Tamandua tetradactyla: one gene and its partner. The protein of the gene in region 1 interacts with the protein of each later gene in a biochemical or structural test. Links are inferred from orthologs where the notes say so. Each region holds a gene or a part of one and is shown on either strand. Other genes may lie near its edges.

What was found.
Region 2: the proteins of SNTB1 (region 1) and SLC16A7 interact in a test that uses a peptide from one of them, tested with the Homo sapiens proteins (2 studies listed by IntAct, with this or other methods). The link is inferred for Tamandua tetradactyla from reciprocal best matches to the Homo sapiens genes SNTB1 and SLC16A7.

Annotation. Positions count from the first base shown.
Region 1 is NC_135332.1:165,260,456-165,268,245, forward strand, and holds the start of SNTB1 (beta-1-syntrophin), read right to left. Parts: upstream 3,151-7,790; 5' UTR 3,036-3,150; intron 2,862-3,035; 5' UTR 2,634-2,861; coding exon 2,063-2,633; intron 1-2,062. UniProt on the Homo sapiens protein: Adapter protein that binds to and probably organizes the subcellular localization of a variety of membrane proteins. May link various receptors to the actin cytoskeleton and the dystrophin glycoprotein complex.
Region 2 is NC_135333.1:127,021,709-127,028,711, forward strand, and holds the start of SLC16A7 (monocarboxylate transporter 2), read left to right. Parts: upstream 1-3,921; 5' UTR 3,922-4,079; intron 4,080-4,650; exon of another isoform or gene 4,651-4,723; intron 4,724-6,708; exon of another isoform or gene 6,709-6,780; intron 6,781-7,003. Other genes in the region: uncharacterized protein LOC143642624, read right to left, coding at 3,590-3,796. UniProt on the Homo sapiens protein: Proton-coupled monocarboxylate symporter. Catalyzes the rapid transport across the plasma membrane of monocarboxylates such as L-lactate, pyruvate and ketone bodies, acetoacetate, beta-hydroxybutyrate and acetate.

The DNA of each region.
Region 1 (7,790 bases):
CTTGATTTGATGGTGTATGATCACCCTTGCAGCAGTCGGGACCAACGCTTTGCCTGTACAAGCACCGCCTCTATTTGCTTCTATCAATTGCAGTCTCTTTCCGTAAACTCAAGCTGCAGATAATACTACTACACTGAGTCAGCCACGCTCAGGAAGTCCACAGGTTGTTCCAAGAGGTCCTTCCACAAGACACGATGTTCTTAAGAACATCATGTGAGAGTTACCCCACAGCCCACTTTTCAGTTACAGTCTCAACAGTCTCAACTGCTGGAATTCTTTCCTTTACCTAAGATTTTCAAATGCAGGGAACCACCTTTTCTTTTCAAAGGGTGAGAGAGATTTGTTTTTACCTCTTTACCAAGTCACTATTCATTAAACTGAAACCAAAGAAAGGAAGAAAGGAAGGGATATAATAAAGGACGGTGCCTGAAGTAAAAATGCCCTCCATTTGTCCACCCCTCCCTACCCCCTGATATTTTATAGTAAGTACTGCAAGCTGATCAGGTTTCCAGGAGTTTATAGTCCAAACTACACTTGCTTCAGATCCCACCTGCCACTCGCCACACAAACCAACACACACTCGAATCAAGGAAATATTTTTCTGTTTACTTATGGTAATCATTAGGCCAAAGCAAAGAGCCTTCCACTTTTTGGATCCAGGCTGGTGATTAACTATGAAGACAATACAGAGCCTGTATACAAGTAAGGAGGAAAAACAGTAACAAAAGCAAAATAAGCTCTTTGCATTCTAGGCCAGGTAACGAAGCTGCTTTCCCAACTCGGAACATTCTCAGTTCCACACCCCAGCACCCCATCTAGAAAACTGATCTAAGCCTTGAGTTAAGATTTAAATCAACCGCCAGTTTCTGAGGTCTCAACTTGAAACACTCTGTTTTAATGGCTACGGGTTCATTTATTCATTCATTCACTCACAACACATGTGATTGAGCTTGTACACTCAAGCGTGACCCACATCTGAATAAAAATTCAGGAAACGTGATCTAGAGTTAGGAGAAAGCTAGGTAAATAGACAAAAATAATTACACAAAATCAGTGCTGATAGCCACAAGCACCAAGTGCTAAAGTACAGACAGGCAGTCATCAAATGAAAAATACAATGGAAAGGCCACTGCATTATGGGTTTCATACCTACTGCCCTTCTCCACCACACAACCCCATACATATACACAAACGGGTACAGCAGTTACTCCTATTCTATTCACATCCAATAATTAGTGGATTGACACACCCCATCCCAGGAAAGTGGGTTCAAAGGCGCTACACATGCATGGGAAACTATTTGCAAATGCACAGTTGTTTCCACATCTTTCCAAAAAAGCCACGGAAAGAGAGGGGCAGAAAAACCACCTCACCCATCCCTCACACCCAGAGCAATCCGGAATCCAGACAGATCCCTCAGACATCGGGCAGAAGTGAACTTTCGCAAAAAAAAAAAAACACCTGCAGCCAATTTCCCAGCCCTTGGCACAACTTTCCGGGCATAAACGCGCTCTCCCAATTTGCAGAGGCGAAGAGAGGCGCTTAGAATTTTAGCATCCACACATTGCCACCTCTCTCTGCCCCTTTATGATTCAACCCATTTCTGCTGGTTTACCGGGCTTCTGAGAGGGAAATGCTGCCAAAGCGGAAAACTCTACGAGTTGCAATTACCCGGTGGGCCCGCTTCGCAACCGCGACGGGTGAGTATCTCTAAGCCTACCGTTCACTTCCCGTTCAGCTCCTCAGTCCCTACGCTACACGCACACTATCTGCAGATAAAATGAGACAACGTGCACCAAGCACCGGGCCCGGTGCTTGGCACACAGTAGGAGCTCGCTAATCCTACTCATCTGGCCTCCGGTCCAACACCTTTCCTGGGTCAAGGCCTGTAAAGACTCCAGGGGCGGAGAGAAGTAGACCCCATGTGGGTAAAAGTTGTCGCAACTCCCCGCCACCCCACCTCCCCGGACACCTGCAGCACGATGGCACGTGCGGGGGTGCGAGTGCGCGAGTGGGAGCAGCAGTGGGTGTGGGCGCGTCCGGTGCGGCGTTAACCCCTTACCTTCCAGCAGCACCTCCTTGCCCGCGCGCTTCAGCGCCTGCACGGCCTCGTCGTGGGTGGCGTCCCGCAGGTCGGCTCCGTTCACAGACAGGATGGCGTCGCCCACGTACAGGGCTTGGGTCTGGTCCGCCGCCAGCCCCTTGAAGATCTTGCTGATGAGGATGGGCATCTTGTTCTCCTTGCCCCCCTTGATGCTGATGCCCAGCCCGCCCAGCTCCTGCTTCAGCACCTTCACGCCGCGCTTCTGGTTGGAGATGGACTCGGGCACCTGCTCCGGCAGGTCGGTGAAGGCTGTACGGACGCCGGCGGGCGAGTCCGGGGGCTGCGCGCCGCCTGCGCCCGAGTGCCCGGCCCCGGCGCCCCTGCAGAACGAGCCATTGGTGACGGTCCCGATGCCATTGTACGCCGCAGCGCCCTCCTCGCAACTCAGAACGAGGGCGTCCTCGCTCAAGTTCACCAGAACTTTGTGCCAGCGATCCCGCACCAAAACTTCCAGCAGCCCGCTCCGCTGCGCCCGGCCGCCACCCGCGCCAGCCGGCCCCGCCGCCGCCGCCGCCGCCGCTACCGCCATCTTTCCGGCATTCTTAAAATGCCATGCGATTGCAAAAGGGGGGAAAAGTGGGGAAGGGTTGGCGCGGCAGGGGGACGCGGGGCCCGGGGAAGCGAGGAGAGCGCGCCCCGCAGGGCGGTGGCAGGACGCGGGACTCCACCCCGGGAGTTCGCAGACGCACTCGGCGCGAGTTGGCAGCCGCAGCCCAGCTGGTTCCCCCTCGTCTGCTCCTGGGCGGGGTGGAGCAACCTAAAAGAAGAAGGAGAGACAGAGCCTGGAGGGGGGAGCGGTCAAAAAGCCGGCTGCCAGTTGCAAAACCCCAGACCGAGAGGAGCGGCGGAGCAGCTTAGCGCCTGTGGGAGCCGGTAGAGGAAGGCGCGCTCTCCCGCAAGGGCGAGCACCGACCGCCTGGCGGCCGCTCACCTGTTCCAGCCGCAGCAGCCTCGGCGGTCACACGGCCACACGCCGGCTCGGACCCTCCCCGCCGCGCTGCTCGGAGCGCACGTCGCCGCAGGGACCGCTTCGCCAGCTCCTTCCGGGTCCCGCTCCTCTCCACCCCACACCCCCCCCCCCCCAACCCTCTCTTCTCAACTCTTCCTTCTCCGCGGGCGTCTACACCGCACCCTTGCCGGGTCTGTGCGGACTGCTTGGGCGTCCTCAGTCCTTCCCCGCACCACTGTATCTTAGACTCAGTTCTCCTATCTCTGGCTTTCTCAAACCGAGGTTTCGCTTCCCTGGCTGGGTTCCTACCTGTCTGTCCTCTCCGCAAGGGCTTTCAGGAGGACGGCAGACCCCGACCGAGGCCCTGGGCTCTGGACAGTCAACAGGGTCCCAGCTGTCCCCAGAGCCCAGAAAGAAGCGTCAGCATAACCCGAACTCCCTGAACCTCTTCTTCTCAGATGCGGGACATTTTTTCTGCCAGTCTCCGGTGAGGGGTCACTGGTGGCCCCGTGTCTCCAACAGGTCACTGCCTGCCCTAGAGCCCAGGGACAAATGCTCTCAGCTCTAACACATGATATGCTTTATGCTTCAGATCTAGCTTTTTACCCAGTGCCACACCAAATGCTTCTGGGGCCTTCTCTTTCTTCCCCAGATCCAATACAGGAAGTCCCCCATCTGAAAACTCAGCTAGAATGGGCTGTATCTCAAAAGTCTCTCTACAAGTTACAATGATGGAGCGCAGCCTGCATCTTTCCAAGGTGACAATATTATAATTGTTCTTTACCTTCACTGGCAGTCAGAGAAAGCCAACATAACCCATGTCACAGCCAAACTTCCACCTGAGAGGCCTCAGAATCTTGAGCCTCTAGAGTTCTCCCCAGACATTAGCAGATCTCCTAGGCTTCTCAAAGTATTTCATGCTTCTGTTAGCTCCCCACAGCCTTTACACTCCTTGCTCCAAAAACAGAACAAAGCAAAACTCACATATCTGCAAATTCCTCAAGGTAAACTCAGCTTAACTAGGTGTCGGGAGGAAGGAAATCTTATTGAACACATTCTCACTGACAAGCACCAACGTCATCGAAAGCTCTCTTTCAATAAGTCAGGAAGCTCATCATTTTATTCAAGGATGCTTCCCAACTCTGCTGAACTCTAAAGGCAGAGTCACAGAATGAAATGAAAACGTTTGCATGTTTTTTTTTTTTGAAGGGGTTGGGTAGAGCACTGCAGGCAGGCTGGGAGGAGCCCTTGAATTAATGTATCTGTGTACAGCTCCCTCCTTTCCTATATTTCTTAACCCACTGGTTTTCCACAAGTTCTCTATTCTTCATGCAGGGACAGCAGCCACAGGGGCTCTCCAGGCCTCTGTGCACAGGTTACAAGTTCACCCAGGAACTGATGTAGGCCGTACCTCTGCTTTACAGTCCAGGACATACATCACTGTACATGGAAATCAGAGCCTGAGTTGGCCTTTTGACCCAAACACACTGTAAAGACTCCTTTACTCCTGTAAAGAGGGAGGTAGGGACCAGAATGGCAGTGTGTTGACTTAGAAATCAAGACAGAACTTCCCCAATCCAGAAATCTACTGTCAGCATCATCCAAGCATCCTGTCTCTGTGGTCAGGCAATGTGGGAGACCCAGGCATAACCAGATGTGATTTGTCTATGTGCCATGAGAAATTACAGGCTCTGGGTTGGGAAATTCTCAGGGTCTCTGTGATTAATACTTTTTTCCCCCTGTATAAGCAAACTTATATGGGAGGGAGTAGGTGGCATGTTGAAAGTGACATCAGAATGAGAGGAATCAAGAATTTAATATCATTAGGCCCGAGGCATGTATCTTAGCAAAGATAGCTTTGCCAATGAAACTATAATAGCAGGCCATGTTGTAAGTTCTGACACAAATTAACTTAGGTAATTTTCCCAGCAAGGTACTATTAGCACCAACCCCATTTCATCGGTGAAGAAATGGAGACGCAGAGAGGAATGATAATTTGTCTGGGTCACGTAGCCAGTAAGTGGCAGAATGAATACTAGAATCCAGTCATTCTTTCCAGAGTCTGAACTCTTAACCATCGGCCAGCAATGTCCCTGGAAAGTACTCACAGCCTGTTAGCTACAGCTCCTACGTTCACCTCTCAAGGGGGAAAAAACTCTGGGTCAGGCCCTTCGCGGAGACCTTATGTGGAAGGGCAGAGGTGGGTTTTGCCTGTGGCCTCTCCTTCTCTCTAAGGTTACAGAACCCCCCACCCTTTCCTTATTGGCACATTCTATTTTTCTTTAAACATGCTATTATGTTGAAACTGGTGCTTGTTGTGGTCTCGCCGGCCTAAAAGACTGCCTTATCTCCCAGACAATTCTGCACATATCTGACCTCTGATTGTTAATGTTGACTTTCAAAATGAGACCTTACTTATTTTACACCTTGGTTCTTGGCGGTTCAACCTCACTGTAGAACCCTAATACTTATAATCTGGACAGGTTATACACCCTGCTGTCTCTCCTTTTACAGAGTCATCATTGGAAAGGATGGAAGAGACTTCTAGCTTTCTCATTTTATAGATGAAGCATGTAAAGCTGACAGAGAGGCACCGACTGACCTCTGGAAGCATTTGTGGCAAAGTCAAGTCTAAATCTGGGATGTCCTGACTGGTAGGTCAGGAGAATCGGGAACGGCACTGCAACTGGAGCTGCCAAGGCTGTGTCACCCCTCCCAACATGGCTTCTGGAGCTGCCCCTTCTGGACACCTGACTTCCGGAACTGATGAACCGCCCCTTCTGGACACCTGACTTCTGGAGAACCGCCCCTTCCGGATATCACCTGACCCCTTGCTTAAAAACTGCCCATGCCATCGCCCAGGTGTTGACTCACCTCCCTCCATCTTGGATTTGGTGAGCTCAGCCCCGGAGCGCAGAAATACACCTGCATGCTTTAAATTTCCCGATTTACCTTCCTTCTTTCTCACCCTTTCGCCTCTTAAACCTTTCACTGACTACCAGTTCAATTCAGTATTCCAGAAACTACAGTTGAAACACATCTCCACCCTGTGCTGCTTTTAATTTTTATTTTTACAATTGTGGGTTTTTTTTTTGTTTTTTTTTTACCAGATTTGTTTTGCTTAGCAGCATCCCCTGTTCTGCTTCTGTTTTCTGCCCTAAACCTTTTTTTTTTTATTCGCATGGGCAGGCACTGGGAACCTAACCCAGGTCTCCGGCATGGCAGGGAAGAACTCTGCCAGTGAGCCACCGTGGCCCTGCCCTAAACTTTTGACTTTCCTTTCCCACCCAGCCCAAACCAAGCTCTTTCTATGCATCTTTCCCATGATATGTGCAATTCCCTAAGATATTTGGATGGACTTAAACTCACAAGAGCAGGTTGCACGGCCCTCAGCCAAGGGTACTCAAGAGAGCAGCAGCGTGTGCCAGAAGGAGCGGTGTTTCTGCATTTATTTCAGTTTTATTGCATACCTTCCAGGTGCCAGGCACTGTTCTAGGTACTGGAATATGGGAGCAAGCAAACCATCAAAGACCTGCCCTATGAAGCTTACATTGTAGTGGGTAGGAGAGGGGAGGTGGAGACAGACTGTAAACACCTAAATAAGATACTTCCCTGTAGAGGTACATACCAGGAAGAAAATGAAGTCAGAATAATAGGCTCCAGAGCCACTGGAGGCTAGGGGCTACTGGAGGTGGTGGCTCTTAAAGAAAGCCGTTGTGACAAGGTGACATTTAGACTAAGACCTGAATGATGGGGAGATGGATACCGTGCAAAGATCCAGCAAAGAGGGTTCTAGCAAGAAGAAAAAGCCAGTGCAAAGCTCTTGAAACAGAGCCAAGCTCATTGGTTCAAGGAACCGAAAGGAGGTCAGCATGGCTGGGGCAGTGCTGGGGAAGAGAGAGGTAGGAAAGGAGATTGGAAAGATAGGCTGGGCCAGATCCCATAGGCAGGGCTTGGGAGGGTTACAATGCAGAACATCCTTGTTCCCTTTGAGTTCCAGCAGTTTATGTTTGTGGATTTTCAGGGACAATCCCACGTTTACTATGACTTCCTAATACCACTAAGTAAACCTCTACCAGCCAGAACACAGGCTCCAATATTTAGGTTTGGAAAATATGATCATTGTAATTGTGGTACTGTTTCCTAATGGGTGGTTTGAGCATGTTTAGGGGGACTTTTCAAATAGTCATGTGAAGAGTGAAGAAAAAGAAATAAGAGCTCTTGAATCTCTGGGTGTAAATTAGAGAACAGAGTGAAATAGGAGCAGGAGGGGTGCTTGCAATGCAAAGCTCTTCATTTGAGGCCTGCCCTGTGCAAATACATATTGATTAAATGCTTAGTTCTTGTTAAGAACTAAGGTAGGTGCTGGAGGCAGGCACAGCCAGGGATGCAAAGATGATTAAGAAAGACAGACATGTTCACAAAGAGGTCGGGGGTGGAGGTGGGGGGACATGCTGAGTGTGAAATGAGTGTGGAAGCGGTCAGACTCCAGATTTTAAAGATGAAGCATTGAGACAAGGGGGTGGGGCATGAACAGGAGGCTGAGCAGATTCTGTTTTCTCTGGTGTGCCCTTGTCAACTAACAAGCACATCATCAATTTTAAAAGTCTGGGAAGCATCCTCTATTTGCCACCATTGGGATAGGTCCTTGGTCAACTAGATGGACCATCATCTGAACAGCCAGCCAGCCCGTCTTCAGTTGAGGGAATTTGTTTAATTGCTTACTATGTTTAGAAT
Region 2 (7,003 bases), on another chromosome or scaffold:
CAATTTTCTAATTTTATGATTTTGGAATTACTAGAATAGTCAGATGAAGGCATCAATACAATACTTATTAGGTTCCATTAAGCCTATTTTATGGTGAATATTAAAATGTAAAATTAAAAAAACACCAATGGACAGTACTTTTAATACAGATTCCATGAACAGATTTGCTGAGACCCCAAAATCATTTATTTTGATAAAAAGCCTATCTATGATATTCTATTGTTATTGAAAGCCACACCATACAGCAATGTACAATATGATTGTTTTCCTTTTCTTATCATTTGTAAACTCAGACTAGATTTGCATTCTCCTTTTATGGGAGGCTTCCATAAAAGAAATTTTCAATGTAACCTATATAACTTAAAATATAAATCTAGAAGCAATAGAAAGAGTTATTTTATACTTTGTACTGTCTATGAAACCAAGCCACAACAACTGTATTCACAGCTGCTAGCCAGCTAAAATCTTGGGCACAGAAGGTTGTCACTGGATGGCAGGTACAGGTTGGTTTTCACTCAAGTTGAGGAACTCTATTAGAATATAGAATATATTCTCAATATTCTATTGAGACATTTGATTTTGCATCCTTAATTAAAACCAACCTATCGTGTATGTTCTACGCACATACATTACACGCAAACCTACTTTGGTCCAACAGAGTCTTGCCATGAGAAAACTGTTACATCAATTTTTGGTGGTCAGAATATATATTTTAGGCTTGGCTTAAGAACACAGTGTATTTTCATAAACTCCAAATATCTCTTTGGGTCTTTATGCCTTTATGATTTATAATCTTATTAAGCAACACCTTATATTGGTTAGAATAGACTAGGCTATGCCCTGGTGACAAATAAAGCACGAAATCTTGTTAAGACAATAATGGTTTCTTGCTTACACAAAGCCCAGTACAAGTCAAGTGGTCTTTTTTCTCTTTCTTTAAACTTTTAGGGACTCGTCTTGTAGCTACTCCATCTGAAACGTGTGACCACCAAGGGTACCCTGGCAGGGAAAGGGAGGAATGAAGGAGGCACACTGGCTCTTAATTGCCTTTGCCCAGAGATGACATCTGCCACCATTATTCATAATTAGGTAGAATTAGTCATATGCCCCCAATGTAACTGCAATGGAAATATAGAGTGGCAGATTATGGATATTATGAGAACTGACAATTCGTGCCATATATCTATTGCCTAAGGTCACACTATCATCTTTTTCCTTCATTCAGCATACATTATTGATTACCTTCTTTTTGGAAGAAATTGTGCTGGGTGCTGGTGGATACAGGTCAGAAATGTCATCTTTAACCTCAAATAGCCTAAGAGACTGGGGAGACAGTTACATAAAATAATATTATAATAAAACTATAATGTGAGACAGAGAGGAAATGCCCTGAATAGAGTCATAAATCATGTTCTATTTGCAGGAGTAGAAAGGAAGATGGGATTAATTCTTATTGAAGAAATCCTTGAAATGCTACAGAAGTGACAGCATAGCTGGGCCTTAATGGAAGTTCAGACAAGTTTGATATGGAGGACAGAGGGGGGAATGAGAAAAGAAACATGCTATGGAGAAGAATGAAGAGAGAATAGGAACCTGGATTATGAATCTGTGGGTATAAAGTGACAGATGAGTCAGTGACCAAAACAGGGCCACAAGTTTGGTTATTACTTATTAGTTTATATACTACATACGTATTTACTGGCTTATTCATTGGTGGAGCATGAGACACTAGAATACTGAGTATATCGCTCTACTTTGTTTTCCCCAAAGTTATTTCATTTTATGGGTTAGAAATCAAGGAAAAATTTTTACCAGAGCATTCCAAATTCTAATCAAATTGTTTGCTTTTTCCTCAAATTGTATTTTTTCTCAATTTCCAAACAATATTAAGACTACATTTCATAGGATAAACTGGATTTTTTACACCTAATTCTTCAGATTCCTTTCTGTTCCAGGGAAATATTTATTTAGCATGTCTAGTTAAAGCATCAAGGTGATTTAGAAACGAGTCCCCAAATACTAACTTTAAGGCAGTAGATAATTGGATTAAGATTTTAATTGTTTGAAAAACAAGACTTACAACAACAACAAAGGTTATGATATTATGGTATGAATAGTGGTGTTTGGGAGCTGGATTAAATAAGCCAAGAATCATGGCCAATAAAGAAAAAATCAGAGAAGGAAAATGGAGCATAGGGTCAAAATTCAGGAAATGAATGGTCTTTCTTCTTCCTCTTCTTTAAAAAGAAATAAATGTGGTGAGGGGACAGGAAAAAGGTAAATAACAAATGCTTGAGAACATGACCTTGAAATATGTAGTTTTTACACTGCTTTCCTCCCAAGTTTAAGTATTACTTAATATTCTTTTTTGGGGGGGTAATACAAATGCAATGCTTATAGTCATTGCTATAATTATCAAATGACTATTATGCCTTATACAAATGCCTACTTATCCATTTTTTAGCTTTTAAAAATTTACAAGATTTTCTAGAACTTTTTTGCCTTTGTGCTTTAGTTTCTAAATTGCTTCTTTCTTTAAAACTCTCTCAAAGTTTCTGAAATTATTAATAGCCATCATTTATTCATCTCCTTTTATGTGCCAGACAATTTGCACACATCATCTCTTGTAAATTGTACGACAGCACTGAAAAGGTGATATTTCTAATTTAGCTACAGAAGGTAAAATTCAAATTTCGTTCAGGCATACAGGCTGGCTGTGGTGTACTTAAGACACTAATTATGAATGTGGCTGGATAACTTAACTTCTCTATATTTGTTTCCAAGTTTGTAAAATGTGAATCCTCATAGTAGTATCTAAAAGGGTTAGTGTGGGTATTAACTGAGATAATCAATGCATGTGCTTAGAATAGTGCTTGACAATATAAGAACTTAATAAATTTTATTAATATTACCACTACTATTATTACCGTTTCGAATCTGAGTCCCTCGGGTTTCAAAGCTCAGGTCATTTCCATTAAATAATCTTGGCTTCTTATAAATGATTTAACCCCTAGATTAAAAAAAAAGTTTTTGGGAAGTTGTATTATCTAGGATTGACACAGCATTTAATCTTTTTTGCTTTTTTTTAAGAACAAGAACATGGGGAAATGCCAGCTATTTGGTAGACAAACTGCAGTAACAGTTCTCGAATCCAAATCCACGTTTATTCCTCTGGACAGTTTCTTTTTCTCTAAATAACAATTTAAACATAGATACATAAAGGTCCCAATCTGCAGTTACTCAATGAAAGGAAGGATTTATAAATGACTTTTATCCATTTCTTTCTTATTTTCAAGTTCTCCATGTGCTGTTTCCTATACCCATCCCCCCATGGTGTTAACTACCCCCCCCCCCCCTTTAGTGATTTGTTTGGTGAAATAATCCCCAACCCCTTTCCCTCCAAAGGCTTTAGTTATAAAATGGCCCAACGCTTTCTCCCCAAGTTCACCATGAGGAACTTCTAGAGGCCCTGTATTCTGCCAGGCTCCCCTCATTTTGCATGCTTTCCTCTCCTACAGGTTAAGTATCTCCTTAGGGTATCTAAACAGAGCCACCGCACACCTGGTTCCTAGGTTAGACGCCAAAGTACCTTGGACAAACGTGTGGTGACCGATCTGGAACAACAGATCTTTCTATCTGCCTTTTGGCTTTTTCTCTTGGTCACAACTAAAATCAGAAGTCGGGCGCCGGGAGCCACAGGAAAGTCGCCGCAATCGCGCTGACAGCCTCTCAGAGCATGCTCAGTCGGTCTGGAGTCACCCGGCGGCGACGGTGCACCAGCCCCCCTTTCCCCCATCCGCCACCCGCGCGGGCCGCCCGCTGGGCCGCAGCAGAGCCGGAGACGCTCGCCCCTGCCCCGCCCCGCTTCCCCCCGGCGCGCGCTCCCGGGCACCCACAAGGGCGTTCATCAGCCGCACCACCCCTCCCCGCCGCCTACTCCTCTCCGGCTGCGGAGGGCGAGGACACGTCAAGGGACATAAATAAATAAATAATTCCATTCACCCGGTGGCAGCGAGACGAGCCGGCTGCAGCCGGGTGGGAACGGACAGCTACAGCGCCCACCCTGTGCCAGAGATTAGGTAAAGTAATAACACCCCGGGAGGGAGGGGATAGGAATTGGTGCAGGAGGTGCCCGCGGTGAGGAAGACGAGCGAGCGTCTGCTGTCGGAGTTGCCGGAGGACCCGCAACGGCCAGCCTGTGACAAATGCGCCAACGTAGTCTGCTGGCTAGTCCTTATATAGACAAAAAGAACAAAAAACCCAAACCCAAACCAAAGCAAAACAACAACAACAACAACAAAAAAAACCCCGACGCTGCAATGGAGAAGAGCGCGGGGTCCGCCGGGCGCGGGGCGCGCGCTTTGGAACGGCGGGCTCCAAGGGTCCCGGGCGTGCCTCCTCGGCCAGGAGGTGCTCCCGCGCTCCCAGTTTGTTCCCAGATAATTTGCCGGGGCGGGACCACCCCGTCTTTGCCTACGAGATTCCCGGGGCTAGTTCCTGCCCGGTGTTTCCGTGGCGCGTGCCTCTCGAGCATCCTGGACCTGCTGGCAACCTGGCGTCGTTGCGGCAGAGGTGGGGGCGGGGTGGCGGCGAGAGTGTTGGCTGGGGGAGGCTTATTTTTCAGCAGAGCCGCGGATGATTGAGGTTCCGAGAGGCTGGGAGCAGGAGACGAGACCCCAGGGTCGGTCCCCGAGAAGCATGGCAGGGCCGTTGGCGGACGGAGGTGTGCGTGTGTGTGTGTAAAGGGCTCCCGGGCAGCGGGGGAACGCTGACGGAGGTGTGCGTGTGTGTGTGTGTGTAGAGGGCTCCCGGGCAGCGGGGGAACGCTGACGGAGATGTGTGTGTGTGTGTGTGTGTGTGTGTGTGTGTGTGTGTGCGCGCGCGCGCGCGTAGAGGCTCCCGGGCAGCGGGGGAACTGACTTGGCTGGGACTGAGGAAAGCGTTAGCCCCTGAGACCCACGCGGAGCTTCCGTAGTGCGGCGCTGGGGGCTGGTGGGCGCCGGCCCGGCCAGGTGGTGCGGGAGACCGGGAGGCCTCTCACGTGCGAACCCGCTCAACCCTCAGCGTTTGCCGCCCGTCTGCTGCCGTTTCCACCCTTTTTTCTCCCCTGTTTCCGTGAAAGGGATTACAAGTTGTCTTGGCAGGGGCAGTCGTGGTCAAGGCCACTTTCTCGGTAGTACCAGGGAGGGAATTTTGTGGTTTCACTCCACGGGAATTAAAATTAAACACACATGCACTCACAAGAGGATAGGAGGAGCGGTTTCTCTGCAAGTGTCTAACGCTCCTTCCTGAAGAAGTGGGTTTGGGTTGGGTTGAGTGAGGGCAGGCTAGTGGCACTAGAAAAGTTAATACTGCGTGTCTTCCTTCCTTCTCGGTTCCCATAGGAGACGCAGCAGAAATCGCCACAAATGATCCAGGCAAGGTGAAAAGGATTGGGTAGGAGGAAACGGGAGGCACTAGATTCCCTTCTCTGGCGCTACCAGGCTAAACCCAAATGAGAGCCCTGAACTTTTAACAGACAGGTAGCTTGATTGGAACGGCCACTCCTAAGTGTGCATTTGGGGAAGTGTAATTGAAAAATCAGAGGGCAGTTGAGGGTTGAACAGGGTGACCCTTATTTAGCCTTGGTGAAGCAATCCTGGCTCAACTGTCTCCCTCTGAGCACGTTAACATTACATTAAGGCCAGTCTTAAGTGAATAAACTCAGGAAAAATATTACTACCTTAAGCAACCCAGTGTATTGTGTAACAACTCAGAAAGTCAGAAATTCCTCTTTGTAAATATTCACAGCGATAGTTTTCAATTATGTACTACTTTTTTTTTCCAGGGAGCATTTTAATAATGGAAAGTGGTCTAAAATTTTTAACATCTGTTTCCCATTGTCTACATTAGTGTCTCCACGTATAAGTCTTCCATTTGTTTCTGTTATTTCTAGGGAAGCATTTACTCTACCGCTATTAAAAGTGGGTTTATGTATTTGCCTTCAGCCCCTCCTGAAGGGAAAGGGGGAAAACTGACCTAAGGAAATAATTTCTGTCTGGAGTCATATTCTTCCATTATGGATTCGAAATATCAAGAAGTCTCCTGAGTTACTTTAAATTCTGCATTCATTCACCAAAATTTTTGAGACATTTACATGAAAAGGATAATTAATTTAACCTAGACTTCAAGCTCTGTTCTGTGCTTTTGTAAGGTTGAGTAGCTACTTCAAAATTTGCCTCTTTGGGCAAATGGTTATCCATAAAATGCAATGGGTGGTACCTACCTTGCAGTGCTATTGTGAAGGATAAAAAATATGAACACCTGGAGTATAGACCAGTTATTTTTGAGTCCCTACAGTGGTTCTAGACACTGCCCTGGTGTTACCAAGATGAATGAAGTTGGAAATCTTTTCCCATGAAATTCACATGCAGTCGTCCAGGTTAATAACCCTCTTTTCCCAATAGACAAGTAATATATCCCAAATAACCTTGGAAGAGATTAAACAGTTTAAAGAAATATTTGCAGGTTATAATGTATTTAAAAGCTAATTTGAGAAGGGTTGTCCCTTGCCTCAGAAACCCATGTATTGAGCCCTTCTTTTACCATTTGAGGGTGACCTGTATAAACAGACTATGGATGATTTTCTCCTTAATAGGGAGGAAAGATGTTCTCTGAAGAGGACCTTTGACAATAAACTGACTCCCTGCCTTTTTCTTTTTTTTTGAGAGAGAAGAAATCGAGCTGCAGTTTCTTCTACTCTTTGGACGGGCTAATCCACTTACTCCTATAAGCCCAAAAGTATGGTAACTATAATAACTACAAGTCTATAAAGCTCTTGAAGCACTATGCTACCACTTTCCTGTATTAACTTCTTTAATCCCCATATCAACCTTATGAGCTAGGGCTGAAGTGCCTCCATTTACAGAAGAAGGGTTAAACCTGGTGAGGCTCAGGCAAGAGCCTGGTCTGTCTGGCTTTAACCACTCGGTCATACTGCCTCACATGAAGCTGAAGAGGCAGG